Tamandua tetradactyla: one gene and its partners. The protein of the gene in region 2 interacts with the protein of the main gene of each other region in a pairwise test. Links are inferred from orthologs where the notes say so. Each region holds a gene or a part of one and is shown on either strand. Other genes may lie near its edges. The genes, in order: GLYR1, FHL2, CSN2 and ID3.

Evidence for each region.
Region 1: the proteins of FHL2 (region 2) and GLYR1 interact in binary tests that used the Homo sapiens proteins (3 or more experiments, as listed by UniProt). The two-hybrid records come from large-scale screens. The link is inferred for Tamandua tetradactyla from reciprocal best matches to the Homo sapiens genes FHL2 and GLYR1.
Region 3: the proteins of FHL2 (region 2) and CSN2 interact in binary tests that used the Homo sapiens proteins (3 or more experiments, as listed by UniProt). The two-hybrid records come from large-scale screens. The link is inferred for Tamandua tetradactyla from reciprocal best matches to the Homo sapiens genes FHL2 and CSN2.
Region 4: the proteins of FHL2 (region 2) and ID3 interact in binary tests that used the Homo sapiens proteins (3 or more experiments, as listed by UniProt). The link is inferred for Tamandua tetradactyla from reciprocal best matches to the Homo sapiens genes FHL2 and ID3.

The regions. Positions count from the first base shown.
Region 1 is NC_135349.1:52,237,070-52,244,143, reverse strand, and holds the start of GLYR1 (cytokine-like nuclear factor N-PAC), read right to left. Parts: upstream 3,011-7,074; 5' UTR 2,916-3,010; coding exon 2,878-2,915; intron 1,844-2,877; coding exon 1,807-1,843; intron 813-1,806; coding exon 733-812; intron 1-732. UniProt on the Homo sapiens protein: Cytokine-like nuclear factor with chromatin gene reader activity involved in chromatin modification and regulation of gene expression. Acts as a nucleosome-destabilizing factor that is recruited to genes during transcriptional activation.
Region 2 is NC_135343.1:70,098,420-70,105,991, reverse strand, and holds the start of FHL2 (four and a half LIM domains protein 2), read left to right. Parts: upstream 1-4,557; 5' UTR 4,558-5,522; coding exon 5,523-5,563; intron 5,564-7,572. UniProt on the Homo sapiens protein: May function as a molecular transmitter linking various signaling pathways to transcriptional regulation. Negatively regulates the transcriptional repressor E4F1 and may function in cell growth.
Region 3 is NC_135345.1:71,316,508-71,324,421, forward strand, and holds the start of CSN2 (beta-casein), read right to left. Parts: upstream 3,008-7,914; 5' UTR 2,875-3,007; intron 1,885-2,874; 5' UTR 1,775-1,884; intron 1-1,774. UniProt on the Homo sapiens protein: Important role in determination of the surface properties of the casein micelles.
Region 4 is NC_135328.1:202,660,303-202,667,399, reverse strand, and holds ID3 (DNA-binding protein inhibitor ID-3), read right to left. Parts: upstream 2,238-7,097; 5' UTR 2,012-2,237; coding exon 1,712-2,011; intron 1,597-1,711; coding exon 1,537-1,596; 3' UTR 1,514-1,536; intron 986-1,513; 3' UTR 505-985; downstream 1-504. UniProt on the Homo sapiens protein: Transcriptional regulator (lacking a basic DNA binding domain) which negatively regulates the basic helix-loop-helix (bHLH) transcription factors by forming heterodimers and inhibiting their DNA binding and transcriptional activity.

The DNA of each region.
Region 1 (7,074 bases), on a different chromosome or scaffold from region 2:
GTAGTGAAGAGAAAGCTAAACAAATCACAGAAAACTCATGTAATATATACTCTTTCCCTCATTGTGGCTTCTTATATGGCCCTGGAGAGTGAGGTAAAAGGATTTCAATCTCAAATTAATGGCCCTAGTTTTCTCAACTCTAGGACATATCTGGTTAAAGAGCTTTACTAGGGCAGGCCACGGTGGCTCAGCAGGCAGAGTTCTTGCCTGCCTTGCTGAAGACCTGGGTTTGATTCCCAGTGCCTGCGCATGCGAAAAAAAAAGCTTTACTGTTACACTGTCAGGGCAAATGACCTAGTTTTACAGAAGAGAACAAGACTTAAAATTAAAATTACTTTTATTAAGATAAAAAACATTTCAGTTTTCACTGTATGTGTGATGCATGAACTACAATGGTATGCAGCCATTAAAAGAGAACCAAACATGGCTCTTATAAAAGGAAGTGCCCGTGGATGTAGACAGACAGATGTGACAAGCTAACTGAATGGACTAGTTTATTTAGAAGGTTCTTACCTGATTGAAATAGTCATCAGCACCAGGATAGGTGCCCACGACAATTTCTATGCAGTAAGAACAGCACCTTTCGTTTAGGTATGAAGCCAGGATGATATGCTACTCTTACAAACTACAGGATAAAACTGAACCAAGATCCTAGAATGTTCTCAGAGCAGCTCAGGCCCAGGGTAACATCCAAACAAAGGCAAAGTGAAACTCGTGATGAACATTACTCACTGATCTTCTGTTCCAAAAAACTTCACAAAGAAGCATTTCTTTCCACGTGGTTTCTTCAAGTCCTTGGGTGGATTAACAATCTGGGCAATAAAAAGAAGAGGTTTGATGGCAATATAGTTCACTACAAAGTAATTTTCCACAGCTCTAAACTGGTAAGAAAAAATAAATAAATGAGGAATATGTATTTAAAAAAGGAACCCTAGGGCCTAATACATATCCAAATCTGGCACTTTTCTATTGAGATGTGTGGAAATGTGCAAATATTCTGCAGGTGTCCTCTACCTAACATATGGCACTGAATTCAGCAGACCCCATATCCCGTTTCACTGCCATGGCTCCATTTTAAAAACAGCTCAAACTAAAATCCACATCTTTTCCTCCCCAAAGTGATCCTGTCTCATCAATGAAGTAATGCTGAGGACACTCTTAAAAATACTTCTTGTGCAGGTGGAGTTCATGAGGCAGGTAACAGTGAAAACAAAGGATAAGAGGCACTGAAAATGCCACATTCCAAAGAGACAGTCCAAAGATATTTACTGGACTGCTAACAAGAAAGTAAAGACAGAACGTTGGAGAGCTATGATGGACTGACTTGTGTGTGCAGAAGCTAGAATGTCAACTTTTGCAAAGATGCATGGGAGCAAGCACACATGGTAAAATGAAAAGAAGACTTAAACTTCGTTAGCACAAAAATACTTTGACTTTTTAACTAACCTACATTTAGATTTCTCTCTTCCTGGATAATTGCTGTTTGTGATTAAATTTAAGTAAAAAGGTAAATTCCAATTAGAATTGGTTTTCAGAGTTAAAACAAAAAAGACCAACACAAATCAGCTATGAATCAAGAAATAAGTGCTGCAGATTAAATGACATGGCTTATATTTTCTTTTCTAAATGAACTGACAGCTCAGAAAAAAAATTGTGAACAAACGTTAAAAATTCAGAATAAATGTTATTTAAATGGGCCGAGTTTTACTCAAATTAATGCTAGAAACCAGGAGGAATGGATTTTACATTCCCCACATACCCAAACACAACTTCAGATATCTTCCTTTAGAAGCAAAAGACACTCACCTTTCCTGGCCAAGGAGGATACCTGCCGAGTTTCCCCCTAGAGAAAACACAAAGAGTCAGGCACTTGCCTTGGGAAAGCCAGTCCATCTCCTTCAGCCCACGCAACCTGCAATTTACTTTTCTAAATCTCGGCCGGCACTCTCAAGAGCCAGAAAAAAGCTGGCAAACTGGAGTTCTTAATTTGACTTCCACAATGGGCCTGAGATGGCCCCAAACCCTCAGAAATAGATACAAAATTATATACATATGTGCACGAAGAGCTAGGTGCATTCCTCTGATGACAAGGAACAGAGAAAAACCATGAGACTTGTCCAGTCTCCTGGACACTCGCGGATGGAGGGCAGTTTCTTCCGTAAACACAGACTTCCCCTTCCAAAATCTGGTTTAATTCACCACGAGACCAAGCCGGCTTTGACAAATGCTAACGAAATTCTTCCGGGGAATCGAGAAACGAGCTACGCAGCTCCAGGGAGGCGGCGACAGTCAGTCTTAGTTCGAGCGGTTGTCTGGGACACAGACGCAGACCACGAAAGATACCCAAGAAGGCATTCACTGTTCACTGCCAAGCCTTCGCTTGTAAAGGAGAAGTACCCCTCCATTTCTTCACCGAGCAGCGCCAGTGGTCCGGTTTCGACATCCCGGGTCGAACCGCCAGCACAAGTCGGATCCATCGCAACGCGGAGGTTTTGATCCGCCTGCCCGGTAAACTGGCCTCACGGGCTCCCCAGCTGTCCTGCTTTTCGGGGAGCCCCACCAAGACCCCAGCCGTGGGAGCCGTGTGGCGGCCGAATGCTCCCTGTACCGTGGCCGCCTAAGTCTGGGACCTGTGCACAGGCCTCCCTCGGGCGGCTTCGGGGCTCAGAGTCGAGCTCACCGCGGCTACCCTCGGCCTCAGTCCCCCGGGGCCGAACTGCCCCTTCCGCCCGGCGTCGCTCCCAGCGCTGGCACTTAGTTTTCCCCTCTCTTCGCCGCCTAAAGCGCAGAGAAGGGCAGCTCCGGGGCTGACTGTGAACCCCGTACCCAGAGAGCAGCACCCCAGCACCTCGCTTGCCCCCGGCCGCCCGGACTCACCATACCAAGTCGCCGAGCCGCAGACTCACAGCCGCCATCTTACCACCCAACCACCACCGCCGCACAGGCCGCCGGGAACATCAGGTCGCCTCGACACCGCCCATTGGAGTGAGGAGGACCACGTGATGAGGGCCGGCTGTCATCGGCCACGCCGCTGCTCTGACGTCACTGCGCCCTCTATCTCTCATTAGCCGGTCGAGCGGCACGTGATTCGGGCGCCGCGGTCTCCGCTAGCCGAAGACCCTAGACTCCCGGCTCCTTCCCCGCCTTCCCCCCCGCCCCACCTCCTCGGCTCGTGACAACGAAGCGCCCGCGGTCTGAGGCAGCGGCGGAAGCGACGACGTGCGGCTGGCCGAGCGCGTGAGGGAGCCGGCCTTGAGGCCCGCCCCGCCTCCCGGGGCCCTGGACTCCAGCCCCCTCCCCCCTTCGGCGCTTCCGTTTCGGCCGTTAGTTCCGCGCGGGCCCCGGGGCCATTCCCGAGCCTGAGGCGCCGGCCGGCCTCGTCGCTGCACCCGGGAGCTCCCCTGACGGACCTCGGCGCGGCCTGGAAACCGGAGCCAAGGGTCCCGCGACCGGTGGGCTCTGCTTGGCCTCAGCCCGGGTCCCCCCTCGTCTCCGCGCCCCGAGCTCCCGGGGGCTCCGAACGCCGCGCTTGTTTGCGGGCGAGGGGGTCCGTCCCGCCGCCGTCCGGGTGCCTTGGCGCGCTCTCGCGGCCGACTTTCGCGCGGCCAGCGGTTCGGGTGCGGGTCCGGCGCAGCAAGTTCTCCCGGGGCGCCCGCTGGCAGCCTGCTCCGCCGCCCCCCGAGTTGCTCCGCGGACCTCGAGGCGGCACTTCTGCGCTTTCTTCTTGGCCGGCTCGCGGCACGGCCGACGCGGCTGTCCCGGGCGCGCGTGGACCCGGTCATGGGCCGCAGCGCCGGCCGGCCGCCCGCCGGGAGCCATGCCTCGGAAGCCGGCCGCTAGCCGCGCCGCCGCTTGGGGCCCCTGGCCGGCATGAGGACAGCCGCGGGGGGACGCGTGCGGCCCGCGGGGCCGTAGCCTGCGCCGGCGCGGGGGACGAAGGTGCGTGTCCGTGTACGGACCGGACGCTCACGTAAGCCTCGTTGTAGTTTGACACTTTGGAAGAAGTTGGGATCAGGCGGTTGTGCCCACAGGGAGTCAGATGCCAAGCGTGGTGTCGACGCATGAAAGTTAAACCGTTAAAGGGAGACTCTCAGTGGCAGTTCGGCACAGCGCCTGCCCAAACTCCAGGGTACCTGGTAGAAACAAATAGAATTTTCGAAAAGCTCCCAGTCCCGGTTTCAGACTCCGAGGAGTGATTTTAGCGCTTGATTTAGAACCGGAGTTTTCCGGAGTTAGCGATTTCCTGGAAAAGGTGCGAGGTCCACGCGCGCATTTCGCGTATGTGTTTTGTCATATCCAGACTTGGTAAGTGGGTTTTTATTTTAGCTTGCTGAGTTGGCCTCAACGCCGGGTTTCTTAGATCAGTTTCTCTGAAGTACCGTGAGCCAGTTTCAGGAAGTGTCATTTATTGTTTTGTTTTAAAGGTAAACTGGTTATTTAAAGCGTATTTAGGATTCCAGGAAACAGTCTGATAAAATTAAACGCATTCGTAATTTACAAAGTCTTATAATTTGAAGAATTGAAGGATATTTAATAACTTGATAAAAGAGATAGATGCCTTTTAAATTACTGTCATGCAGGCTCTAGAAGCATTGCCATTAAGGTTATAATCATGGCTAAGAATATTTGTCTTATGTTAGCCTGGAAGTTTTAGCCAATGCAATAAGGCATGAAACAAAAAATAAGAAATATAATTTTTCAGGAAGGGGAAGACAAACTACTCATTTCCCGGGATGATAGAATTGCATATTTTGAAGAAATGAATAGTCGAGGAAAACCAGTAAAATTAGAGTTAAGAAAAACTAACTGCAAAATCGACAAAGTTCAGTTTTCTGGTTAATGGGTTCTGTTTACAATGACAACAACGAAAAGCTCCTGGGAATAATCTGAGATACAAAAGGAGGCGTGAGGAAATAGATGAAAGTGCCATTCTTGTTTAATTTCAGTTGAGGTTTTTTAAGAGGGATGATTTTGCAGATAGAATTTTACTCATTTTGTATTATTTATAAATAACAGGACTTTTTAAATAAAAATACTTGATCTTTGACAAAAGTTCAAGTAAGAAACCAGTTTAACATATCAAATTTCCCTAAATAACTCTTTTTACAAAGTTCAATTTTCTTTAGCATATTACTCTGTAATTAAAATTTTAGATGCTTGATTCTTGTAGATACTTCAGACGTCTAAAAAAGTAAACTTAGAAACCTAACATAAATGTTTCTGAGGACTTAAGCAATTGTCATTAAGTCTAATAAACTTATAAATGGAAATCTGGTTCTTTTTGAAAGAAAGTACAGGGCAGGCAATGGTGGTATAGTGGCAGAATTTTTGCCTGGCATGCTGGAGGAGACCTGATTCCCGGTGCCTGCCCACTCAAAAAAAAAAGTGCAAACACTTTCACACTTAATTATATTTTCTTAAGCATCTCAAATTAAAATTGTAAATCTCACAACACTCATTAATGTCCAGTTCTCTTGAATGTTTCAGATGGCCTAATAAAAAACAATAATACAGTATGATGATTACAAAACTTCACCCAAAATCTAACCCATGAGTCTTAATCTGCTATATCTTTGATTTGCTTTATCCTCTAATTCTGTTTCTATACCATTGGCTTCTCAGGCTTCAACGAAGAAGTGGTTGAAGTTTAGGTGGGTTGAAGTTACGATGTGTAAAACAGACCAAGATAAGGCTACATTTTAAAATCTCTTACTGGACAGGGACACTAGCATTTGCCTGGTTGCCACTCCCGGAATGACCTTCTTGCATCCCATTGATTAACTTGATTCTCTTCTTAGAGTATTTGTCTGCTCTATTAGAAGGGACCTTTAAACTTTTCCTTTCAACTGAGATGTAATTTGACAACCTTGTGAATCAGTATGTCCCAGGTTTTGTGTCATAATGGAAAATAAGTATTGGATATATACAAATGCATATACATATATGGATTTATAAGAGATATATATGAGAAATAGCATCTTCTTGACAACTCTCACTTATGATTCAGTTACAATAAAAACTGACAGCCCCTTTGGGAGAACTCAACAAAATGTTTCTAAAGTTCTGAAATAATAAGTAGGCTGGAGTGGTAGTGGTATTTTTAAAGAGTGATAAGAGCTTTCAGTTCAAGATTTTAAAATATTCCGTATAACTTCAAAACAGTATGGTATTAGTTAAAAAAAATCTTAACTACTACATTCATACAGCAGGATGGATTTCAGTAATAGACCATAAGAAACATGGGATTTTACTAGATGATGTATGCCAAATTGGCAGGGATAAGAGGGATTATTTAGTGATTGATACTGGGAAGAATCAAGTTAGGACCTCACGCCATAGCTTATAGCATAATATATTCCACTTGGGTTAAATAGTTAAATGTGAAAAGTATATAAAAGACTGTGTAGATAAATTCTTATGTGAGATCTGGTTGGAGAAGTACATTTTAAGCATGGAAGAAACAGGAGAAGTCACAAGGGAAAAAAAATTTTGAGGGCATAGAAAGTTTTCAGCTTGCCTCATTCTAAGTAAAATTTAAATAGGGAATAAGCCAGGAAGAGTACTTGTGAGAGATTAAATGATTTATAATAATGATTTATGTGATGAGGCAAAGGGATATTTATCTGTAATATATCAAGGAGCCTCACAAATCAATTTAAAATCTACAATTTATTCAACTGTTCCTTTATCACTGGACATGTGGGTTGTTTCCACCATTTTCCCCTATGTAAACAAGGTTACAATGAATAACTTTATTGAAATAAAAGTTCACATTAGGGTGTAAGTTTGTAAAAATAGGATACAATTATTCCTGTAGCACAAAAAAGTACATAATGTATGTTTGCATATTTATGTTCTCTAAACCCTTGGAATTCTTAGATTCCAAATCTATGTTGGACGTTCCCACACAATTGTGTAGTTCTTTGGCATGTGATCATTTGTCACTTTGTTAAGGCCCACGTTTGAATGGGGAGAGGGCTGGTGGTCAAGTGCCAGTGACTTTGTTAGAAAAATAAGTTTAGCCATACATACATCACTGAGATGCTGATTTTTTGCTTATTCCAGGCTAGGTAA
Region 2 (7,572 bases):
GATGGTTTGGCTTGCTTTAGGCCCCAGCTTCCCGCTCCATCAGGTCTAACTTAGACTTCATGGGGAAAGAAAAAGAAAAAAAAAAAAAGAGTGAAAGGGTCAGAAGCTTAAACACAGCTTTACTAATTACTGGGCTCTTTTCTGCACATTTGCTCACTCCCGGCCTCAGGACACTGTCTGTGCCTAGGTTTGGAAGTTGCAGAGCGTTTGTCTGCATTGTCCTAACTCATCTATCCTCTGGTCCCCCAAACCAGGGGAAACTATTGCAGCCCGAGGGCCTGGCCACTTCTCCATGGTTTCTGGGTCTCTGTCGCATCCAGGGGCCTTGCAGCCTCTTCCCGCCACTTGACAGAAGGTGGTCGCGGGAAGAGCGGTGGGGAACCAGCAACCCCCCCGCCCCCAGCTCAAAGGACTACAGGACTAGCGGGGGAAAGGAGGGAGGGGGTCCCTGGTGTGGAGCAGAAGCCTGGAAGGAGAGGGAAAGCAAACTGCAAAGGGCGTTTCGCTAATAGTCATGCTGTTTCCATTCTCCGCCATGTGTTTTTCATTCTGGTTTGGGTTACTTTTGACTCAAATTATGGAACTTTGTCTTTTGATGAAGGTAACTTAGATGGAATTAATTTTATACAGCCAAAATGAACATTGATTTTTCTCTGGTGGAGCCCAGGATAGTGACGGGACAAAGGCCATGGATTCTTTTGTCCGATGAGCTCAATAACCACTTCCTGAGACCCCAGGGTTTCAAAGAGAGAAAGAGTTTATTACGAGGCACGTAGTAGGTGAGCAGATGGCTTAGAGGCCCCAAATCTGTCTCCCCAAAATGCAGTAATTTTGATCGTTTTGCTAGAGAAAAGATGAACCGAGTTTAGGGTGATGAGCTCAGAGACCCCTGATGATGTAATTAGAGGGGATCTGATATCTGAGCGTGCGCGGTTTGACTACATGCTTAGTTACTGAACATGTGTCAGTAAATGGTAAAATGAAGTCTAGGTGAGTTGTAGGTTAAAGTCTAAGCTACTGCGCATGTCAGATGGGCCCACTTTGATTAGATCCAGTCTCCGTTATCAAGATAACTTTGGACTTGGGGTGGGTTAGTTCCGGGCTGACCCAAGACCCTTTATTAATAAATATTAGGAGCTGTCTTTAGCAGTTACAAGACTCTAAAGTTGAAAAACTGGATAACTGGGTACAAATGAAGGCTAGTCACAAGGTTTTTACAATCACAGGGGCAGAAGATAAGGGCTATGCAGTCATTATCAGAGATCAAGGCAGCTGGATTACAATTTAGAGATTTCAAGGATTTCCCACTATCTACTCCTATATACCAAAAAGTAAAAAGGAATATCTATAGAATGATTCAGTAATCAAAACCATCCCTTAAACCCCGATTTCTCGGTTACAGAATGATGATAGGAAGTGACTAGAAAAGAAAGCACGTTTCTTTTCAGAAAGCTTCCCTCTTCCTTACACGAGAAGAGAACCTATTTTTCCGAGACCCCAGAGCGCTTTGATAAATTCAAATGGTCAAACAAGGCATCCTCTACTGAAAGACAGCCTGTGATGATAAAATGGTGTGGCCTTTAGAATGCAGAAGAGAAAGCAAATACCTCATAATCAAAAAGGTAAGACATAAAGATAAACACTCTCCTACCACGGAAATGGGGGGGCCCTTGTCTGACAATGTCGTGTGAAAACAGCCAGCACTGTCTCTCTAACGGCTAAACATGCTGTTAGGAGTAAAACTCTGTCCACTGAGGTCCCGAGCAAGTCATTTCTTTGCACTTCTGTCTCTTCTCTAAAATGCAGACAATTATACTTGGAAAGGGCATGTTCAGGTTTATGAAACACGCTTTTGAAATCAAATTTCTCCCAAGCAACCATGAAAGTTGAGCCACAGCTTCCAGCCTTTTCCAAAGCTGCACTTTGCCTGCGTCGGAGACATTTTTGCTCCGTGGAATTTCATGCTGTCCAGGTATCGCCGACTGCCTCTCTTCTGTGGCAAAATGCGGAAGATTCTTCATTCCTCTGCGGCAAAGCGCAGAGAGGGGAAGGGAGGAGCTGAGCCGGGATGTGCGGCTTGATGCCCCGTGTAAGTCAGACCCCGTAAAACACCCTCAACCGGTTCTGAGCCTTAATCATCCTACAAATGGACCTTGTGGTTTCCCCTCGGCATCTGGGCGGCACTGAAAGGCAAGAAGCAGGAGAGAAAACTGGTGTTGACACGGACCGTTGAGCTATACTCTGGCTTCATCTTTATCCGAGGGACACAGTGTCTGTTGGATAAAAAAAGTTAGAATGAAAAAGAGTCATTCTGTGATCATTTAGGTATCTTTACCAAAGCAGCCCTCAGCATAACCCAGATCAAGCCTTTCTCAGTCAATGAGTAAAAATAATAATAATAATAATAAAGAAGATCCAAAAATCAACCTAAAGTTGTAATTTGGTGGCAGTTAGGATTTAATTCCATAGAGATTTCTTTCATCTATGGCATTTTGCTTTCAAAGAGAAGTCATATGTGTCAGGCCAAAAAATGAGCAGGAAAATTTATTTTCGTATTTGTTTTAGATTGAATCATGTTCCCCGCAAAGACATGAGTCCTAACCCCTGGTCCTGTGTATGTGAAACCTTTTGTGAACGGAATCTCCAAAGTTCCTATTAAGACGAGGCTGAAGTGAAAGGGGATGGACCTTATTCCTCCATGACTCGAGTCCCTATAAGCAAAGGAAATTCGGGCACAGAAGTAAAGCCACATAAGGAGCCCGAAGGAGACGATGGCCGTGTGATGGTGGCCCCTGCAGGACACCATAGGCTTCAGAAAAAGCATGGTCTGCTGGCACCCAGCCTTTGAAAAGCGAGAGACCATCAGCTCCCATTGTGGAAGCCAGCCAGCCCGCGGGACCCGTGACAGCAGGCCTGACACACGAAAGCGGTGGTCCTGCTATTTCTAAGCTGCTAGTGTTTTGCTTTGCAGATGACTCTCATCGAGCCCTATAATGCCGTAATGAAAAAGTAAATTAAACCATAGGGAAAATGTAGATCAAAAAGGAACATGTACCCGTCTGGCCACCACAATTTTGGTTCCAAAGTAGCTTCCCATCTGCCTGAGCCGGGACGTGCCCGTTGCCGGGGTGGTCTGGGCCGCCCTCACCTGGGGCCCCGGTGGGCAGGTGCCTGCACCTGGGGACGCTGTGTTGGTCCCAGCTCGCGGGGTTCGGGCTGCTAGTCGTCCTCACTCGTGGAACCAACCTCTTAAAAACCTAAAGTCACGACTATGCACAAATCAGCAAGGCTTTAAGCCCTCAAACAGCTGTTTCTTACTATTGCTTTTCCCTTCGGATCAGCATCCCGACCCAGAGCTCTGCTGGGCAAGGCATTGGGTGGGGGGGCTGGCAGGTGTGGGGTGGGGTGCGGGGGGTGCGGCTCCCCTGATGCATCCCCAAGGCTGTCCCCCTGACTTGCTGCTACTCACAACTACAGAAAGCCGCAGGAGGCAAAGTGCTGATGGGACAAAAAAACAACGGAACAAGAAGGCACGATTGAATGCTCGTATAAATATAGAACTAGCATGGTGAGAAGACAGAAACAGCTTTCCTAGTAAATGGAAGAAACTATTTTCTTCTTTTTCTCCGGCGGGGATAGGCTTTGTGATCTCTGCCCCATGCTCTGCCTCGAGCTGGGGAGATTCCACGACACAAGACGGGGTTGCTGCAGAACTGAGAATGGGGCAATTAGGAGGGGAGGGAGATGTCCCACTACCCCCAAGAATAGAGTTTACTTTCTTCACCTCGGGCTCTCTGTACGGTGGTTGGAACGTCACCCAACAGCCAACAGCAGGAGACCCAGCATTCCGACCTCTGGCCTCCTCGAGCCCTCTTGGCCCAGGGCCCCAAATGAGCAAAGCCCTGAGTCACTAGACAAATCACATTTGCAAGGACCCTGTCCCAGGTGCCCCTCGGGGAGCTGGCCATGCTTTGAGGCCACTGGCAAGTTGTGGACATGGGGTAAGGAATTTTTCATCTTATTCCCTCTTGAGATTTTGTTTCTCAAGAGAGGCCCAGATGGGATGGAGTCTAAGCGTGACTCTCCTTCCCCCTGGGAGCTGACCCATGTAGACCATGGGGATGTGGGCCACCATGAGTGCTTGGAGCCCTGGGAGCTGGGCTGCGCCCCCTTTTCTCCTCACCCTCACCCTTCAACTTCCTCCTCAGCCACCCCCCTCACCTGCTCATGTGTCAGATTCTTCCTCTTGTTGCTATTTAGACCATTGTGAATAATTTCCACCTCATTAGTCTTACTAGGGGTGTCCAGTGCCTCATGTCTCAGGAACAGGCAACTGAGTTCTCCAGTCACCTCTCCTCTTGGGGCCTCTAACTCACCCCAATGGACACTCACCTCTCACCCACCTTCTGTTGCTGGGTGAGGCCAAGCTGTGTGGTCTTCTACGGATCTGTGTGTCTGCCTTTCTGAACACAGGAAAGCATACTTTATAGACTGGTGTATATTAAACAAAAGAAATGAAATACCCATATTCATCTATACCAAATTACTATACAAAAAGATACTTTCTAGACATAAGGCCTTAAAGGAGGAACAGAGCACAATCTGTCTGTACCAACCTCATCTGTAATTATTTCCATACAAATGTCAAGTGCAGAACTGAAGTTGTTCGCTTTATTTGACTAGAGTGTTTAGATAGTGGTACCTGGTTTTATAGACTTATTCTCTTGACAGCTGAAGCTGCGACCTACTCATGGGATTAAATTGCTCTTTTGGTTTGTTGGGGTGGTTGTCATTTAACCCCATTGGTCTCTGTGGCTCATTTGCAACAAGAAGGAGGTAAGCGGTGTCTCTTGGGAGGAGGTCTCCCTGCAGTCCTGGACTTTGGTCTGGTGGCCACTGCCATGTCAACCACATCTGTCAGCCCTGGAGGCCAAGGATTCTGCTCACTCATCCAGGAACATCTCCTGCTGAGCCTCCAGCAGGCTTCCACAGCCACTTAAGAGACCCTGAGTCATCAATGAGAGTAGGCTTGGGGCACTAGCTACACAAACCATGAGTATCGCTCTTTCCCACTTACCCTCAGAATTAAATATCCCACCCGCACTGCTTGCTGGGCTGCTATGACAAATAGCACACAATGGGATGGCTTAACAACAGGAATTTATTGACTCACAGTTTTGAGGCTGGAAGTCCCAAATCAAGGCATAGGCAGGGCAATGCTCTCTCACCAAAACCTGTCGTGGCCTAGAGTCAGCTTGCTGTAATATTTGGGGCTCCTCGGCTTGCTTCTCTGCCTCCCACAGTGGGCTGAGCTCCCTTGGGTGGGCTCCTCTGGTTTCCACTGACTTCTGGCTTCCTGCTCCTCAGATTTTCTTCCAGTAGCTTTCGCCAACTCTCAACTTCTAGTGCTTCTCTTTCTAAAGCCAGATCTAAGAAAGAAGACCCCACCTCATTCAGTCGGGCCAGACCCTTAACTGAAAAGAGCACCTTCAAGAGTTCCTATCTACAATGGGCTCACACCCATGGAAATATGGATGAGGATTAAGAACATGTCTACGTTGGGGTTCGTAATTCAATCCACCATACTTCTATTACAACAAAATATAACCTCCTCCAGCGTACATGTGGTTTAATCCAGTGGTTCTCCAATTGTGGTCCTTGGGTCCCTAGGAATCCCTGAATCTCATTCTAGGGTTGTGTGAGGTCAGATCTATTTTATTAAGGATAGTAAGCTCTTACTGGACTATTTCACTGTATTCACATTTATTATAGACATAAAAGCAGTGGTGGGAAAAACTGCTTGTGCCTTAGCTAGAATGAAAGCAGTGGCAGCAAACTCGATTAGAAGCCATAACATTCCCCACCCCAAGCACTAGCAAGAAAAACAAAAATCCAGTTTCATTTAAGAAACTGACCTTAATGAAGTGGTAAAACTTACTAATTTTATTAAATCTGGACCCTTGAACATGCATCTTTTAAATATTTTGAGTGACCAAAGAGAAGATGCATGAAGCACTTCTGCGCATATCAAAGCACCAAGGTCATCTTGAGTACAAGTCCATGTGTGAGCATGAATTGAACTAGATGCTTTTTCTGTTTTTACCGGAAAGAACAATTGACAAGCTATGATTATTCAGATTTTGGTTGCAGATATTTTCTCAAAAATGAACAGAGTCAGCCTGTCAATTTAAGGAAAACAACTGAAAGTATATGTTGCCAAAGATAAAATTTGAGCTTTGAGATGAAAATTAGCATTTTGGAAAACTTAGATCAGTCACAGTGATCTTCCCAATACTTCTAGGTTTTTCTGAGAAGATGGGTGGAGATAGTAAAGATTGTGATTTTTTTTTAATAAGAGAAGTTGCAGGTTTACAGAAAAATCATGCAGAAAACACAGAGTTCCCATATACCCTATAACCCCTTGCATTACTGTGGCACCTTTTTCACAATTGATGAAAGGATATTATTATAAATGTTCTAGTAAAAATAGTCCATAATTTACATTAGGGTTCACTGTGTACAGTTCTATGTTTTTTTTTAAAGCGTTGTTCTGGTAACTTATTTGCACATTTAAATATATAATTCTGTGGTGCTAATACATTCACAATGCTGCACAGCTGCCACCGTTATCCATTGCCAAAACTTTTCCATCACCTCAAACAGAAATTCTGTACCAGTTAAGCAGGAATTCCCCTTTATCTACCCCCACCACAGTCCCTGCAAACTGTATTCTACTTTCTAACTCTATGAATTTGTTTATTCTGATTAATTCATATCAGTGAGATCAAATAATATGTGTCTTTTTGTGGCTGGCTTATTTGACCCAACATGGTGACTTCAAGGTCCATCTGTGTTGTCACATGTATCAGACCTTTGTTCCTTTTCATGGCCAAATAATATTCCATTATATGTATAGACCACATTTTGTTCATCCATTCATCTGTTGATGGATACTAAGGTTGCTTCCATCTTTTGGTAATTGTGAATAGTGCCACTGTGAACTTTGGTGTGCAAATGCCTGTTCAAGTCCCTACTTTAATTATTTGGGGTATATATGTAGGAACGGGATTGCTAGGACATATGGTAATTCTACACCTAACTTTCTGAGGAACCAGCAGACTGTTTTCCATAGTGACTGCACCACTTTATAGTCCCACAAACAATGAGCAAGTCTTCCTGTTTCTCCACATCCTCTCCGATACTTGTTCTTTTTTTCTTTTTTTAATAGCAGCCATTCTAGTGGGTGACAAACGGCGTCTCATAGTGGTTTTGATTTGCATTTATCTAATAACTAATGATGTGGAGCCTCTTTTCCTGTGTTTTTGGGCCATTTGTTTATCTACTTTGGAGAAATGTCTATTCAGTCTTTTACTCATTTTTTAATTGGGTTGTTTGTCTTTTTCGTTGTTGAGTTGTGATTTTTTGACGTTGTGTAATTAAATGTGTTCACATTTCATAAATCTACACAATGAGTAGTTTCTAAATATTACAAAATAATGCACAATTTAAATAATGCACAATTTAAAGTTCAAGGTAGACCAAATGTGTTTTAATGTAACTGGACATAAAAAT
Region 3 (7,914 bases), on a different chromosome or scaffold from region 2:
AATTAAATAACAGCAAGATAGATGAAAGTTTCCTTAAATAATAAGAAATTAAATGACTTTTTTCTAAATAACCCATGGATCAAAATACAAAATCAAAGGATTTTGGAGGATATAGCTAAAGCAGTGCTAAGGGAATTTTTTAACAGGCAAGGATGACTTTATTCATAGTCACTAAGGGAAGGAAGAAGGGTAGAATTCAACTCTGAGGAAGGCATGGAGGTGCTTGAGTTTTATAGTTGAGTTAAGGGCAGTGAGAAAGTACCAGGGTGCCATCTGGGAAAGAAGAGAGAAGGAGGGCAGGACAGGGTTGATAATTCTGAATAACCAGTACTTGATATTCTCTTTTCTTTTTTTTCTACAGCTGGAGGTTTTGTTTGTTTGTTTTGCATTATTTTGTTGCTAAGGGAATCTTATAGCATCAAATACTTATGCCAGGAGAGAGATAGCTCCCTAATCAGTGACATAAGCATCATCTTAAGAAACCAGAAAAAGAAGAATATATTAAGGCCAAAACACTCAGAAGAAGTTAAGTAATAGAGATAAAACCAGATACCTATGAAACATAAAACCAATTGAGAAAATCAATGACATCAAATGGTACTTCTTTGAAAAGGTCAATAAAATCAATTCTAGACACTGATCAAAGACAAAAAAGAGAAAGATGGCACAAACTGCCAATATCAGAAATGAGAGAAAAGATACCACTACAGACCCTACGTGAATTAAATAGATAAGGGAATGTTAAGAACAATTTCACATCAATTAATTTGACAATATGGATGAAACAGACAAACTCCTTGAAAAACACAAACAACCAAAGCTCACACAGGAAGAAATAGACAACATGAATAGGTCTACATTTATTAAAGAAATTGAACACATCATTTTAAAATTTCCCACAGAAAAGCAAAGGCCTTGATGGCTTTACAGAGAAATCAAATCAGTATTTTAAAAAATAAATAACATCAACTCTACAGAAATTTTCCCAGAAAATATGAGGAGGGAACACTGCCCAACTCACTTTAAGGTGCCACCATTACCTTGATATCAAAATCAGACAAAGGCATTATAAAAGAAGGAAAAAAATTATACCTTATAAATATAAACTTAAAAATTCTTAATAAAATTTTAGCAAACCAAATCCAGCAACACATTAAAAAAATGACTGATCAAAGGAGGTTCATTCCAGGACTGCAATGTTAGCTTAACTTTCAAATCAAGGCAATCCACCATACTGAAAGATTAAAGCAAAAACCATGATCATCTCAAAGGACATAGAAAAAGCATTTGACACTATACTCATTCATGCCAAAATTAAAGATAGAAATGAATTTACTCAAACTAACAAAGAGCACCTTCAAAAAGACCTATGCCTGGCATCATACTGACACTTTCCCCTAAAATCACGAAAAGGGCATAGAAGCCTCTTACCACTTCTATTCAAAATTGTACTGAGGTTCTAACAGTGAATTAAGAAAATTTTTAAAAGTAAAAGCCACAAAGATTATTTTTTAAAATAATGCTTTATCATCTATGTAGAAATAACAAGGACTCTACAAAAAAAAAATCTTATTAGTTAACAAGGTCTAGGAGAAAAGATCTTTATATAGGAGATCATGTAAGTGAAAATAGCTGAGTAGAGAGCTTTAAAGACCCATCACTCCAAAGAAATATAGAGAAATGAAGCAAAACCTATCAGTTCAACTTTATTAGAATTCTTAAAAATAGTCAAAGGTTTAAAGCAACCAAGTAAATCAAGAAAAAGGCAACTTACAAATGGTTGGAAGACTTTGAGCATCTTACTTGCCCTTGCTTTACTCCACTTCCCAGCTGGGCAATGGTCTTGAAAATGACAGTTCATGTTCCCAGCATGGACCCTGGTCCCTGGTTCCAGAAGAAGAAAAGCAGATCTTATTCTCAAAAAAGTGTACTTGTCCTTTTTGACCTGTCTGGGAGCTTCCTGAAGTTCTGATACAAGGTGCTTGCCTTTGTTTCACCTAACAAGGAAATCTTTCAGGGCAGAAAAGTGACAACGCAGAGGACAATTCCCCCCAAAATTGTAAGTCAAATGAAAAATTCACTGCCATCTGGGACAAAAGAGTCCAGTTGAGGCAAAGGATAAGCAGGCCAAAAAGATGGGAGAGAAAATTGGGGCTAGAGAAGAGTTTCATTGGGAAATTAGAGCATAGAAAAGTGACCATACATACTAAGGAATTTACAAAGTCATGAGCATACCTAAGAAAGATGAATGCTCCAAAAAACAAAATACTTAAGACTAAGCTTTCACCTTTGCTGACTTCTAGGTTCAGTTAATTCAAAATGGATCATATATCTACAAGTTAAATAAAAAACTACAAAACTTCCAGAACAGAAAATCTAAGTGACCTGGTGTTTGGTGATGACTTTTAAGGTACACCACAAAAGCCATGTTCCATGAAAGAAAAAACTGATAAGCTGGACTATATTAAAATTTAAAGCTTCTGCTCTTCCAAAGACACTGTTAATAGAATGAAAAGACAAGCACAGGGTGAGAGAAAATCTCTGCAAAACACATATCTGAAAAGCACTTGTATCTAAAATACATAAAAACTCTTAAAACTCAGCAACAATTTTTAAAAACAATTCTAAAAAGGACAAAAGATCTGAGTGGATACCTCACCAAAGATGATACTGTTAAGAGAGAGCTGTCCTGCTGGTGTTGGGGCAAAGAATTAAAACAAGTCAAGGTGGGAAGATGGAGAGGTAGAAGTACTAGGAATCAGTCCCTCCACCAGAACAATGATCAAACAAGCCAGAACTGTTTGAATCAGCTAGAATACTGTACAGTATCCAGGAAAGAATAAGAGGAAGAAGCTGGAAAATTACAGTAAATACCTGTAAACGAGTCTCTCCACACAGTGGTTACCATCACCCATCACCCACTCTAGCAACATGCAACAGTCGGGTCCAGGCCCTTATGTAGCCTGCTGGTACCAGGGAAGGACAAAAATATCCACTGCCCCGAAGGTCTGTGCGAAGGTGGAACATGGGCCAATCACCAATAGCTGCTTTTGATGATCTATTTTGGATCACTAGGGCCCTGGCCCTGAGGGTGACCATTGTTCCAACCTGCCCCAGACAAAGGCCACAGAGGAAACTTAAGACAGTATGCTTCCTCAGAGCTCTAGAGGACAGCTGAAAGGCTGCATTTACTGGGCAGGGGCCCAGTCAATAGAGTGAAGCATAGGGGAGCCTTGTAAGAAGTTCCTGGCACCTTCCCTGGACCCTCTTTTAACCCTCCCCAGGGCAGTCTGTAGCTGGCAAGCTCACCATATGGGTTCCTGGCCTTATTCTGGCTGGGAAAGACTGACTTGGGAAAATCCTCCCTAGTGTCCCTGCCTCACCCCCACCCAGAATTTGGCTGCCAGGCAAAAGCAGCTTGAGACAATAAAAGTTCTGTAGGAAACAATTGAGTCAGAAGGCCTGGGCAAAGGATTACCTGTTTTAAGTCCAGCAGTACAATACACACAAGAGGATAAAGATCTGTTTTCTGGGAGGTACAAGAGCCATTCAAAGTCCTATAAAAAGGGGAAATCCAAAGGCCTCCAGGAAGCACAAGCCCAGGACAAGATACAGGCCCAGAAAAAGACAAGAAGGGCCCTGCACTTTGCATTCACCTTGGGCTGAACTTCGTGATATGTGAGTGCAGCTCTGATGAAGAACCAAACAACTCCAAGTCGGTTTGCAAAGACAGTGAAAAGTGCTTTTTGCTTACGTTTGCTCCATATTGTTACCTCTTGACACTCAAGAAAATCTCCATCATATCACCACCTGGTTACATACTCAAGAAACAGACATTTCAGGGAAAAAATCCCAGACTTAACATTTTAAAATATTAAAATATACAGTGCGCAACAAAACATTACATGACAAACAGAGACAAAGGAAATGACAGCCCATCCAAAAGAAGAGGATAAAAATCCAGAAAATATCAATGAAGAAAACCAGATTGTGGATATACTATAAAAACAGTATTTAAAAAATGATCTTCAATATGCTCAGGAGATGAAGGAAAATATTGAGAAAGAATTAAAGAATATCAGTATGCTGGTATGAAGCTACTGTGTATCCTGGAAAAGTCATGTTTTAATCCTGATTCAATCTTGTGGAGGAAGCCCTTTATTTTAATCTTGATTCAGTACTGTAGGGCTGAAACTTTTGATCAGATTATCTCCACAGAGATGTGGCATGCCCAAAAGGTCTATCAAAAGGTGTGACCTTTTAAGTAGGTGGAGTTGTGACTCTACCCATTCAAAGTGGGTCTGATTTGTTTACTAGAGGTCTTTAAAGGGGGTAATATTTCAAAGGACAGTTACTTCAGGACACAGATGTTTAGAGATGCTTGGAGTACCCATACACCTCCCTAGCTGACAGAGGTGTTCCATATCCATCAGCCTTCCTTGGATTAAGGTATCTTTGTCTGGATGCTTTAGTTTGTACATTTTTAAAGGCTTACAAGTATAAAATTATATGCTTAGAACTGTAAATTTGCAACTTATTAAATTTTCTTTTTAAAAGCCATTCCATTCCTGGCATATTGCATTCTAGCAGCTTAACAAGCTAATACAATCAGAAAAATGATGAACAAATAATATGAGAACCTCAGTAAAAAGAGAGAAGTTTTTAAAAGGAAACAAACAAGATAACTGGAGTTGAGAAGCAGAAAGGAAAAAGAATTATAAAAAGTGACAAAACCTAAGACATCTGTGGGACGCCATCAAGCATACCAATAAATACATCATGAAAGTCCCAGGAGAAGGAAAAAAAAAAAGAAAGAAAGAAGCAGGTGGAATATTCAAACAAATAATGACAGAAAAATTCCCAAACTTAATATGCACATCCAAGAAACCACCCCCCCAAAAAAAAACACAACACAGGATAAACATGAAGAAAAATAGGTCCCATCAAACTGTTAAATGCAAAAGACAAAGAAAAAGTTCTGAAGGCTGCAAGAGAAGAGCAGTGTATGCACAAGGAAACTTCAAGTAGATTAATTGCCAATTTCTCATTAGGAACCATGGAGGCAAAAAGGCACTGGGTCAAAATAATTAAAGTGCTGAAAGAAAATAACTGTCAATCAAGAATCTGATATGTGGCAAGACTTTCAAAAATGAGGGAGAGAGAAACAAAAGCTGAGGTAGTTCATCACCCCTAGACCTGCACTACAAGCAGTGTTAAAGGTTGTTCTTCAGGCTGGGAGGAAAGGACGGTAGACAACAGTTCAAAGCATTTGGGTGAATATAAACGCCAGTAATATTGTATTTTATTTTTTGGTAAGCAACTCCACTTCTTACTTCCCACAGTAGCTAACATACAAAGGCATAAAAAGTAATGGAAAATCTTAGTAAAAAAAAAAATAATTTTTACTACAATGTAAAAAGATATGATTCATAACCAGTACAAAAAAAAGGGAGGGGGACAGAGGGAGGGTGTAGGAATGGCATAGTAGTATACTACTGAAGTCAAGTTGCTATCAAATAAAATATGATTATTATATATTTCCGATGTTAGATTGTAACCCCATGGTAGCCACAAGGAAAATATATCCTTATACAAAAGAGAAGGGACTTAAAATGTTACAATAAAAAATACAATACAAAAAATAAATAAATAAATATTAAAGTAGACATTAACAGAAGAATTGAGGGACAAAAAAACAAATAAACCTTACAACAACTAAATGGCAGAAAAAAATTCTGAATTCTCAGGAGTGATTTTAAATGTAAACAGATTAAACACTCTAGTCAAAAGGCAGAAAATGACAGAAAAGATTTTTTAAAAACGTGACCCAACTATTTGCCATTTACAAGAGACTCACCTTAAGTTCATAGACATAAGTAAGTAGAAAGTGAAATAGTATACAATGGAAAAAGTATACAACGCAAGTAGGAACCAGAAGAGAGTTGAGGTAGTTCTACTAATATTAGATAAAACTGACTTTACATCAAAAACTGAGACACATATGCTAATTCACACTAATAAAGGGGACAATTCATAAGATATAGCAATTGCAAATATATATGCACCTAATAGAAAAGCCCCAAAATATATGAGGAAAATACTGATAGATCTGAAAGGAAGAATGAATATACACTTCCACATTAATAGTAGATCTAAATACACATTTTCACTAATGGTTAGAACATCTAGACAAATGATCAATAAGGAAATACAATACTGGAATGACACCCTAGATGTTATACACATATATAGAACAGTTCACCCAACAACAGTAGAGTACACATAATCCTCAAATGCAGATGAATCATTCTCCAGTGTAGACCACATCTTAGGTCATAAAATAAGTCTCAAAATGTTTCAATATTTCAAAAATATTGAAATCAGACAATGTACCTTCTCAAAGCACAATGGAATGAAACTAGAAATCAATAACAGAAGGTAAAATGGAATATTTAAAAATATGTGGAAATAAAGCAACTTAACCAATGAACTAAATAGAAAATTATAAAGGAAATTACCAAACATCTTCAGACAAATGAAAATTAAAGTACATTATACAAAAACTTAAGGGATGTAGCAAAGGGAGAGCTAAGAGTGAAAATTATACCTCTAAATATTTGTATTTTAAAAGAAGAAATATTTCAAATCAGGATGACCTAATCTCAAAACTGAAAAAAAAAAAATAGAAAAATAAAAGCATACTAAACCTAAAGCAAGCAGAATAAAAGAAATAAAAATTAAGGCAGACATAAAAAGAAACAGAGAACAAAAACCAACAAAGATTATCAACAAAATTAAAAATTGGTTCTTTGAAAAGATCAATAAAATTAACTAACCTTTTGCTAGACTGACAAAAGAAAAAAGAAAGAGGAAGCAAAGAATTAAAATCGGAAATGAAAAGGAGGTGGACTCTCCACCAACCCTGCTGTAACAAAAGGACTATCAGGGAATACTGTGAATAAATTAGATAACCTAGATGAAATAGACAAATTCCTAGAAACACACAAACTATCTACACTGATTAAGAAGAAATAGAGTAATCCAGACAAATTTCCTCATTTGCAGATGAGGGTTTGAGGTCCGGCTTAAGGGATGTTCGCCAAACCACCCAGTGGGTAAGAACTAGATCTGGGATGTGAACCAAGGTTTATTTAAACATCTACCCAGTCCGGGAAAACAAATGTAGCATTATTCTGTATCCTATAGGATAGCCAGAGACAGAACAGGGCAAAACACATTGACTGCTTTATTCCAACTCCTAGCATTTCCAAAATCTGCATGCTGGCTGCTCTCCCTCTGAGAGTTCTTTTAACTGGCAATTCTTGTCTAGAACACTGGAAAGTCAAGTATAGACTTTCAAGAAAGGGTTAGAGGATTATTACCTTAATCAACTTGACAATACTCCTCAAAAGACCTTCCTTCCTTTTCATGAGAATGAAACGGAGGCTAGTAAAAAATTGGAAATGACCCAGGATTCCTGAAATTAGGGATATGGTTCAATAAATGATGGTACATTAAGAACATAGAATACTAGGCAGTTGTTAAAATGATAACTATGAAGACTATAGAAATGAAAAAAATGCTATAAATATAAGAAATAAGAGAAAGAAATAAGTAATTTGAACAACCAATAAACAGAAAAGAGACTGAAACAGTAATCAAAACCTTCCCAACAAAAAAAAGGCCAGATAACATCACAGAATAATTCCAAAAAAAACTAACACCAATCCTGCTCAAACTTTTTCAAATAACTGAAGAGAAAACACTCCTTAATTCCCTCTATGAGGCTAACAACACTTTCATAATAAACCCAGATAAAGATACCACAAGAAAAGAAAATTACAGAATAATATCTCTTATGAATGTAGATGCAAAAATCCTCACCAAAACACTATAAGCAGAATAAAATAGCAT
Region 4 (7,097 bases), on a different chromosome or scaffold from region 2:
ATTCATCTCTCAAATGGGTGTATCAACTACCACAGATGTCTGGGCACCAGATAAGATAAACCCCAGGTTCCCCTTTCGACCTCCCCTGCTAGAATAGGCACATTGAATAATCTACCACACTAACAGCCACTTGCTGTTAGATCTAGCCAGCAGATCTAAGAACTGGAACTCAGGAGACCTCAGTTCTAGCCTGGGTCTCCAACTTACTGGGTGAGTTTGTGCCCATCACTTCCCCCTCTGGTCTTTCTGTCAAGTGTAAAATGAAGGGGTAGGGCCAAAGATCTTCTCTGCACCCAGCCATCAGTGGACATGGGGCTACCATCACAAGCCCCCTCTCATACTGCCAAACCCAGCCTCAGCCTCAGGCCAGGCATTTTCCCAGCTCCCTCTTCAAAAAATAAATGACTTTGCCTTTAAGCCCCAAGGACATTTCTTCTTTCCTGAATTCAACCAATGTGAGAAGGTATGGGGGATGCAGGTACCCAGTCAGATTATATACACAGGTGCTTAAAAACCGTTTATTATGCAAAATGTTAACTTTTATAAAAAGTTTAATATACATCGCATGGTTACAGAAAGTCACCTTCCTGTAAAAAAGGTACAAAAAGCTATATACTCTATTATAGAGTTCATAATCAGGGCAACAGAGCCTTTCTCCAAGGAGACCTGAAGACCAGCCCTACCTGCCTTGGCAGAGTCTGGAGAGCAGCCACTTCTCCCCATACCTCCACACTCTGAAAAGACAGTCTTTAAACTTGGAAATGGGGTGGGGGCTGCGTGACGTGGCCCAGCTGGTACCCAGAGCTAGCTCTGGCTCTTCAGGCCACCCAAGTTCACAGTCCTTCGTTCCCGGGCGCCAGGTCCAGCCTCGAGGCGTTTGGGGGAGTCGCGTGGGCAAGGGCGAGGTTGGGGTCCATCCATGCCCTTGAGCTTCCGGCCGGAGGGTCCCGGGGTCCCAGGCAGAGCGGGCGCCAGCACCTGCGTTCTGGGCGGGGGAGGGATGGAGACGAGGGAGCCGTCAGTTTCCGCCCAGCGCGCCGAGGCTGGGGCCGTCCGTAGACTGGCCGGCGCCAGGGAGGAAACTTGGTCTCTACCTCCAGCTGATAACTCCGCGCCCCGCGCGGCCCCCACCCAGTTGGCGCCAAAGGACCACAGGCGGAGCTTGCGCCACCCCACCCCTTTGGAACTGACACCAGTTAGGAGGGGGAGGAGGAAGACTGTTCCAAAGTCTCTTTACAACTCCAAACAGAAAGGCTATTTAGTCGGATCCGCGCCTATTTTTCCTGGTCTTTGGCCAGAGGAGAGCAGGGATGCTGTCGTTTTAATGCCGGAATACACCATTAATGGAAACTGGTTCTGCCATTCATTTGAAGCGACTGCCACGGGCAAGTCCCTTGCCCCTTTTTAGGCTCACTTTCCCTAAACTGAGGGGGCGGCAATCGCCAGCCGAGTCCCGGATTTGTCGTCTAAGCTGCTCTCCTCCAGCGGATACCCCAGAGGAAGGGATACTCACCTGGAGTTGCCAGGACGGCAGGGTCAGTGGCAGAAACTCCTTTTGTCGTTGGAGATGACGAGTTCCGGGGCGAGTTCGGCTGTCTGAGAAAAGAGGGAAAGAGAATTAAGCATGACACGTAGATGCTCTGGGGGGTCCCACAGCATCCCGACCTCGCGCGCTCAGCCCCGCCTCAGCGCCGCGCACGCCCGAGCGCACCTGGATCGGGAGATGCGGGCCGTCTGGGGGCCCGGGAGCCGGCTCGGCCAGGACCACCTGCAGGTCCAGGATGTAGTCGATGACGCGCTGCAGGATTTCCACCTGGCTAAGCTGAGTGCCTCGCGGGACTCCGGGTACCAGTTCCCGCAGGCGCGAGTAGCAGTGGTTCATGTCGTCTAGCAGGCTCAGCGGCTCCTCTGCGGCCGGGCCCTTGCCGCGGCCGCGCGCGATGGCCAGGCTGCGCTCCGACAGGCAGCACACCGCCTCGTAGCAGCCGCGCACCGGGCTCAGCGCCTTCATGCTGGAGACTGAGGGGAGAGGTGTCGAAGAGACGAAGACCGCAGGACACCTAGAGTAGCTTGCGACGCGCTCACGCGGGCGGCCGCCTGGTCTTATAGAGCCGCCTTGGACGGCACGCCCCTTTATGCAAAAATAGCCGCCCTGGCTCCGCCTCCGCTCACCCTGGGCGTTCACAAGCCGGTTAAATTGCAAACAGGCTTCCTCCCGCTGGTCTGACGCCGAATACCGCCGAGCCGCGGATTCAAAGAATGAGGAAACGCTGATAGTGGGGAGAGGCGGGCCTCTTCGCCAGGAAGGATTTAAAAACTCACTTAAAACCATTAACTTTAAGAATTTGCCTTTTTCCTGGCAGCGCCCCAGATCTCTGGGCTCCCCTGCCAGTTCACCCTCAGCCCCAACACTGGTTCGAACCCACGGCTCGTCCGAGGTCATAAATCCCTGAGCAGAAAAGAAGCTTTTTTTTTTTTTTTCTTAAAAGCAAAAGATTTTTTCAAGGGAAACTTGTAAGGAATTAGTGCCGCCTTGTTCCCCAATTTGCTGTTCGTCTGACCTCCAGACTCACTGGCGTCAGGAATTATCTTGTGACCAGAGGGGGGGAAAAATTAATTGCGGTGAAGCTGAGGTTACAATGAAGAAAACAGATTTGGGCTAGGCGCTGAGATTGCAGAAGGAGGAGGGGAAGGGGTTTTGAGCAAAGAACACTACTTTTTTTTTTTGAGCAACAGGGGAAAGGGGGGAGAAAGAATAGTTGTCTGAATCCATGCTTTTTTGTATGGAGAAGGAAAAGCCCTCCAACCTTCAGAGCCCATGCATTCCATAAGGACCCAAATATATGACCCAGTCATGTTTTGGAACAGGGTTAGATTAGAAGTTTGGACAGGGTTTTTAATGTGGGGGAACAAAAGAGAGGAGATTTCTCCATCAATCTTTTGAGCACCCCTTCCCCCCATTCCATCAGTGAATCTTGCTTCACCTGTTTCCCCCCCACTCTCCACACACCTCTATAAGAAAACAAAAGCTTGGTAATTTCGTTGCTCTATTGTCTGTCCCTTTCCACTGTGGATGGGCAGGCCACCTGGACTTGATTATTCTTAGCCCTTCTGAAATAGCTCCAGCTGTATCTGAGAGCCCAGGAAAGGGACCAGAGGGCAGCAAGCTAAGCTCTGTGTTGCAACAGGAGTTGTGTTCAGTCTTCTGTGCCTGTATTCCTGTCACCTCCTAGGACTTTGGGGAATTTGCAGCCCCAGAGAGCTGGTTTCCATCTTGGAACTGACAAAGTGGAGTCTCCCAATAGCTGCTTCTTAGTCAATCAGTTGGTAAATATTTATGGAATTGCTTTGAAGGCATCTCCTGCTCCTGCTCTTAGGAATCTCACAATCTGGGGAGACAAGATTAGCACAGGAAACATTAAGAGTTCAATTGCGTGTGGCAACTAATTAACTGGACAGTGGGAGCAAGAAGAGTCTCAAAATAGTTATAGTGGAAAGAACACCGAACTGGGGGTCAGGAGCCAAGGGGTCAACATCCCAACTCTGCCAATAATTTGTTGAATGATATTGAACAAACCCAGGTACCATGACCTTAGTTAAAGCCTTGTGAGTCAAGAGTGGAGATGGTGCTCATTATTATTTAAAATCCTTTCCAACTAAGTCCAACAGAAGTCTAAGGCTTTATAAAGTTTGGACAGGCAAGTGAGGGGTGGTAAACAGCCCAGAGAGAGGGATATAAAACATGTTTAATGTTATACCACAAGTAATGGCAGAGCCAGTCCTGGAGCCCCATTCTTTTCCATCATACAGGGCTCTGTGTCCTAAGAAAGAGGTCTTCGAAAGAGTTCTTCCTGGAATATTAATATTTTCAAGGATAACGTTTTTAGTATAAGAAACCGGAAAATTTACCCATGAGTCAATGAATGGGTCTGTATATGCTAAAGAAGTCAAGTGAAGAGCGTGCCGGCTATTTGGTCATGGGAAGGGAAAATGGTGGCCGTGGAGGTTCCTAAGTGACCAAATAGAGGATCCTTTCCTTTTCTCCCATGCACACTTCCGTGGTTTGTACAGAATGACCAAGGCCATGAGGTTCTGGAAAGATCATGGCTTTCAGGCCAGACAGATTTATGTTCAAACCCCCCATTCTTCCCTTTTACTAACTGCGTGACCTTTGGGTAAGTCACCACCTCTATTTGCCTCCAGTTTCTGATCAATAAAATGGAACTAATTAGACCTCCCTCATTCATTCAACAAATAATTATCGACTGCCTCTTGTCTGTTAAGTGTCTGATATGCTTTCTCAACCTCACAGTCTTTCGGTGCCTGGGGTCAGGTGTGTGGTAGGTGCTGGGTGCTTGGTCACATTTATCATTTCACAGAATGGTTCCAGCCTGAAATGTCCTAGGGCTGTGTGACCTAAGACAGGAGAGTTTCTCAGGATCAGCAAACAGAATTCTGTCCTTGCAGGGTGGCCTTGGGGCAAATTTCCTTCCTTTCCTGGGCCTAATTTTCTTCAGAGAGGGGGTGGGGAGCGGGGTGGTGGTAGCAAGATAGCGTCCTTTGCAATCTTAAGATTCGAAATCTGTGAAAGAAATCGGTTAAGGTTGGGAACGCTCAATAGAGTTTAAATCCAAGAGACTTCTTTTTTCTCAACAGCAGACGGGACTGGTCGGGCCAGCTCAGGCCCTTCTGCAACTTTTTTAGCGGTGGCGGGGGCCTCAGCCTCTTATTCCAAATGCCTCTGAACTTTCTGTTCCCACTTCTGCTCCTTTTACCAGCTTTTTCCCCCCTCTTGCATTTTTTATTTTTATGAAAGGATGTCATTAAGGCTTTTGTCTGCGCTGTTTTTGTTTCAGAACTTTTCTCACAATCCTATTTTTTGTTGAGGAATCCGCTCCTTTGCCCAGCTGTGGGTCCCGGTCCCACAGCTGTGTTGATCTAAGACTCAGCCCCAGACAGCCTGGCGCCAGGGTGGGACGTCATGCGTTCACACAGGGATGCGTGTCCCAGGCAACCTTTCCTCGGGCAGTCACCGGCCGGCGACTGCCGCCCCCACCAATGAGCGCCCGACACCCGAGAAAGGGGCGGGGTTTGAGCCGCCGCACCCCGCGAGCGCCTTGTGAATTGCAGATGTTGAGAACTTGATAAGTTCCTCGCTTTGGGGCCCTTTAAATCACCCCCCCCCTTTTTAGTTATTTCTTTCTTTTCTGTCTTTAGTGTATTCCTCTCTTCTTTCTTTCCACCTTCGTTCTTTATCTATATATATATACAGTTTTTCTTCTGCCTTTTTAAACTATCTCCTCCCAGTGTCAGGAATCATTTTGTAAGCATTTCCAGGAACTGAATCTTCCTCTGCCAAAATTTAAAAAAAGAAAGAAAGGGGAGAAAAAATTCAAAGCTATGCTCTCGGATTTTTGAAGAGTTGGCAGAACTATTAAGTTATACTGTTTTGTCTTTAAAATTTTAAAAAGTGGTGGGGGTCACTGAGCTGTTGATTTCAAAGCCAAAGTAATGATGATGAGGATTGCAGATGTCTTTTTGCTTAAACTGAGCTGCTATCTCCGCATCTATCGATTTTTCTCCCATTTATAGCGTACAAGTGGGGGTCAAGGGGACCACGGAAACTTACCCAAAGTTTCCTGGCATATCAGTAACAAACCTGTGGTCCACACCCAGACCCCACCCCTATCCCATCCCCTGATCCCCTTTCCACTCTGCTCCCTAACTCTCATTAGTATTGGGGTGACCAGCTGTGTTATCGGAAAATCCCCAGTTGCTGCATCTCCTAATATATACTTGTTTGCTCACATGGTGCCTGTAATAGTGTGTTGAGGATCTCCCAGCATATAGACCACATTTCTTCTCTCCTCACCAGGACTGGACCCCAAATGACTGCTTAAGACTCAGGTGGTACAAGGAAAGCAGAGAGGATCAGAATCAGGCTGAGGCTCGAAAATCCTTGGGTGGGTTACTTGTCTGCCTCAGTTGTTTTACCAGTTACAGATGGTAAAATGCAGAAGAAATTAAAATCCACCTACCTCATCACTGGGAGGACCCAGGGGGACAAGAGATGGAAAGTGCTGTGGGAACCAGTTAATTCTTTTTTATCTGCTACAATATGATGTAGGGTGGGCCACAGTGGCTCAGCAGGCAGAGTTCTTGCCTGCCACACCAGAGACCCGGGTTCGATTCCTGGTGCCTGCCCATGCCAAAATATATATATATTTGGCATGGGCAGGTATATTTATGATGTGTATATATATATATATATATATATACATCATATATATATGATGTAGCCCTTGAGGAGGAGGATACTTGGTTCCAGTTGGGGCTGTTCCCAGTGATGTGGGGGGATTTCTAGAGCCTCCATCCAAGATGGACTACTCTACAGCTCAGAAGTACTCAGTGCCATCATCATCATTTTCATTGAGTCCTGTTTGCCTTCACACATGTTGTCTCATTGACCCATTTTATGGACCAAGTGACTGAGGCTCAGAAAGGTTAATATATTGGTCAAGGTATGATCTTGTATGACAGTAAGTGGCAGACCCAACATTGGCATCCAAGTTTCCACTGTCTCCAAAACTTGCCCCCTTTGTGCCCTATGCATTTCCTTCTGACCCTACAAAGGGCCTCCTGAAAAGTTAGCTTGGTGCTGAGAGGATTAAATTCTACAAGGGCGAGAACAGCAAGGGGAAATCCACCAGGTAGGAGAGATACTAATGTATCGAGACCTTAAGGGAAAAAAATTGTTTTCTAAACAGAGAGACTCAGAGAACTTTGGAAATTTCTTGGCAATTTGAAGCCCCCCCAACCCCAATAATTTTCCAGTCCATGCTTTAGGGAACATTTATTTTTGAATAAAGTAAAGAATGACTACTCCTGTTTTTAGGAATCAGCTTTGGAGTTGCACTCTGTCCCTCTCTCTCTCTTACAATCCAGAGGTAGCCTACTTAGGTCTAGGTACACCACCCCTAGACTAAAATAACCCTTTACTTCTGCAGGTGGGCAGTGAACATGGGATATTCAGGGGCAGCCTTGGCATCTAGGATGGAGAGGTGAGTACCCACAGGGAAGCAGGAAGGGAGCCTGAA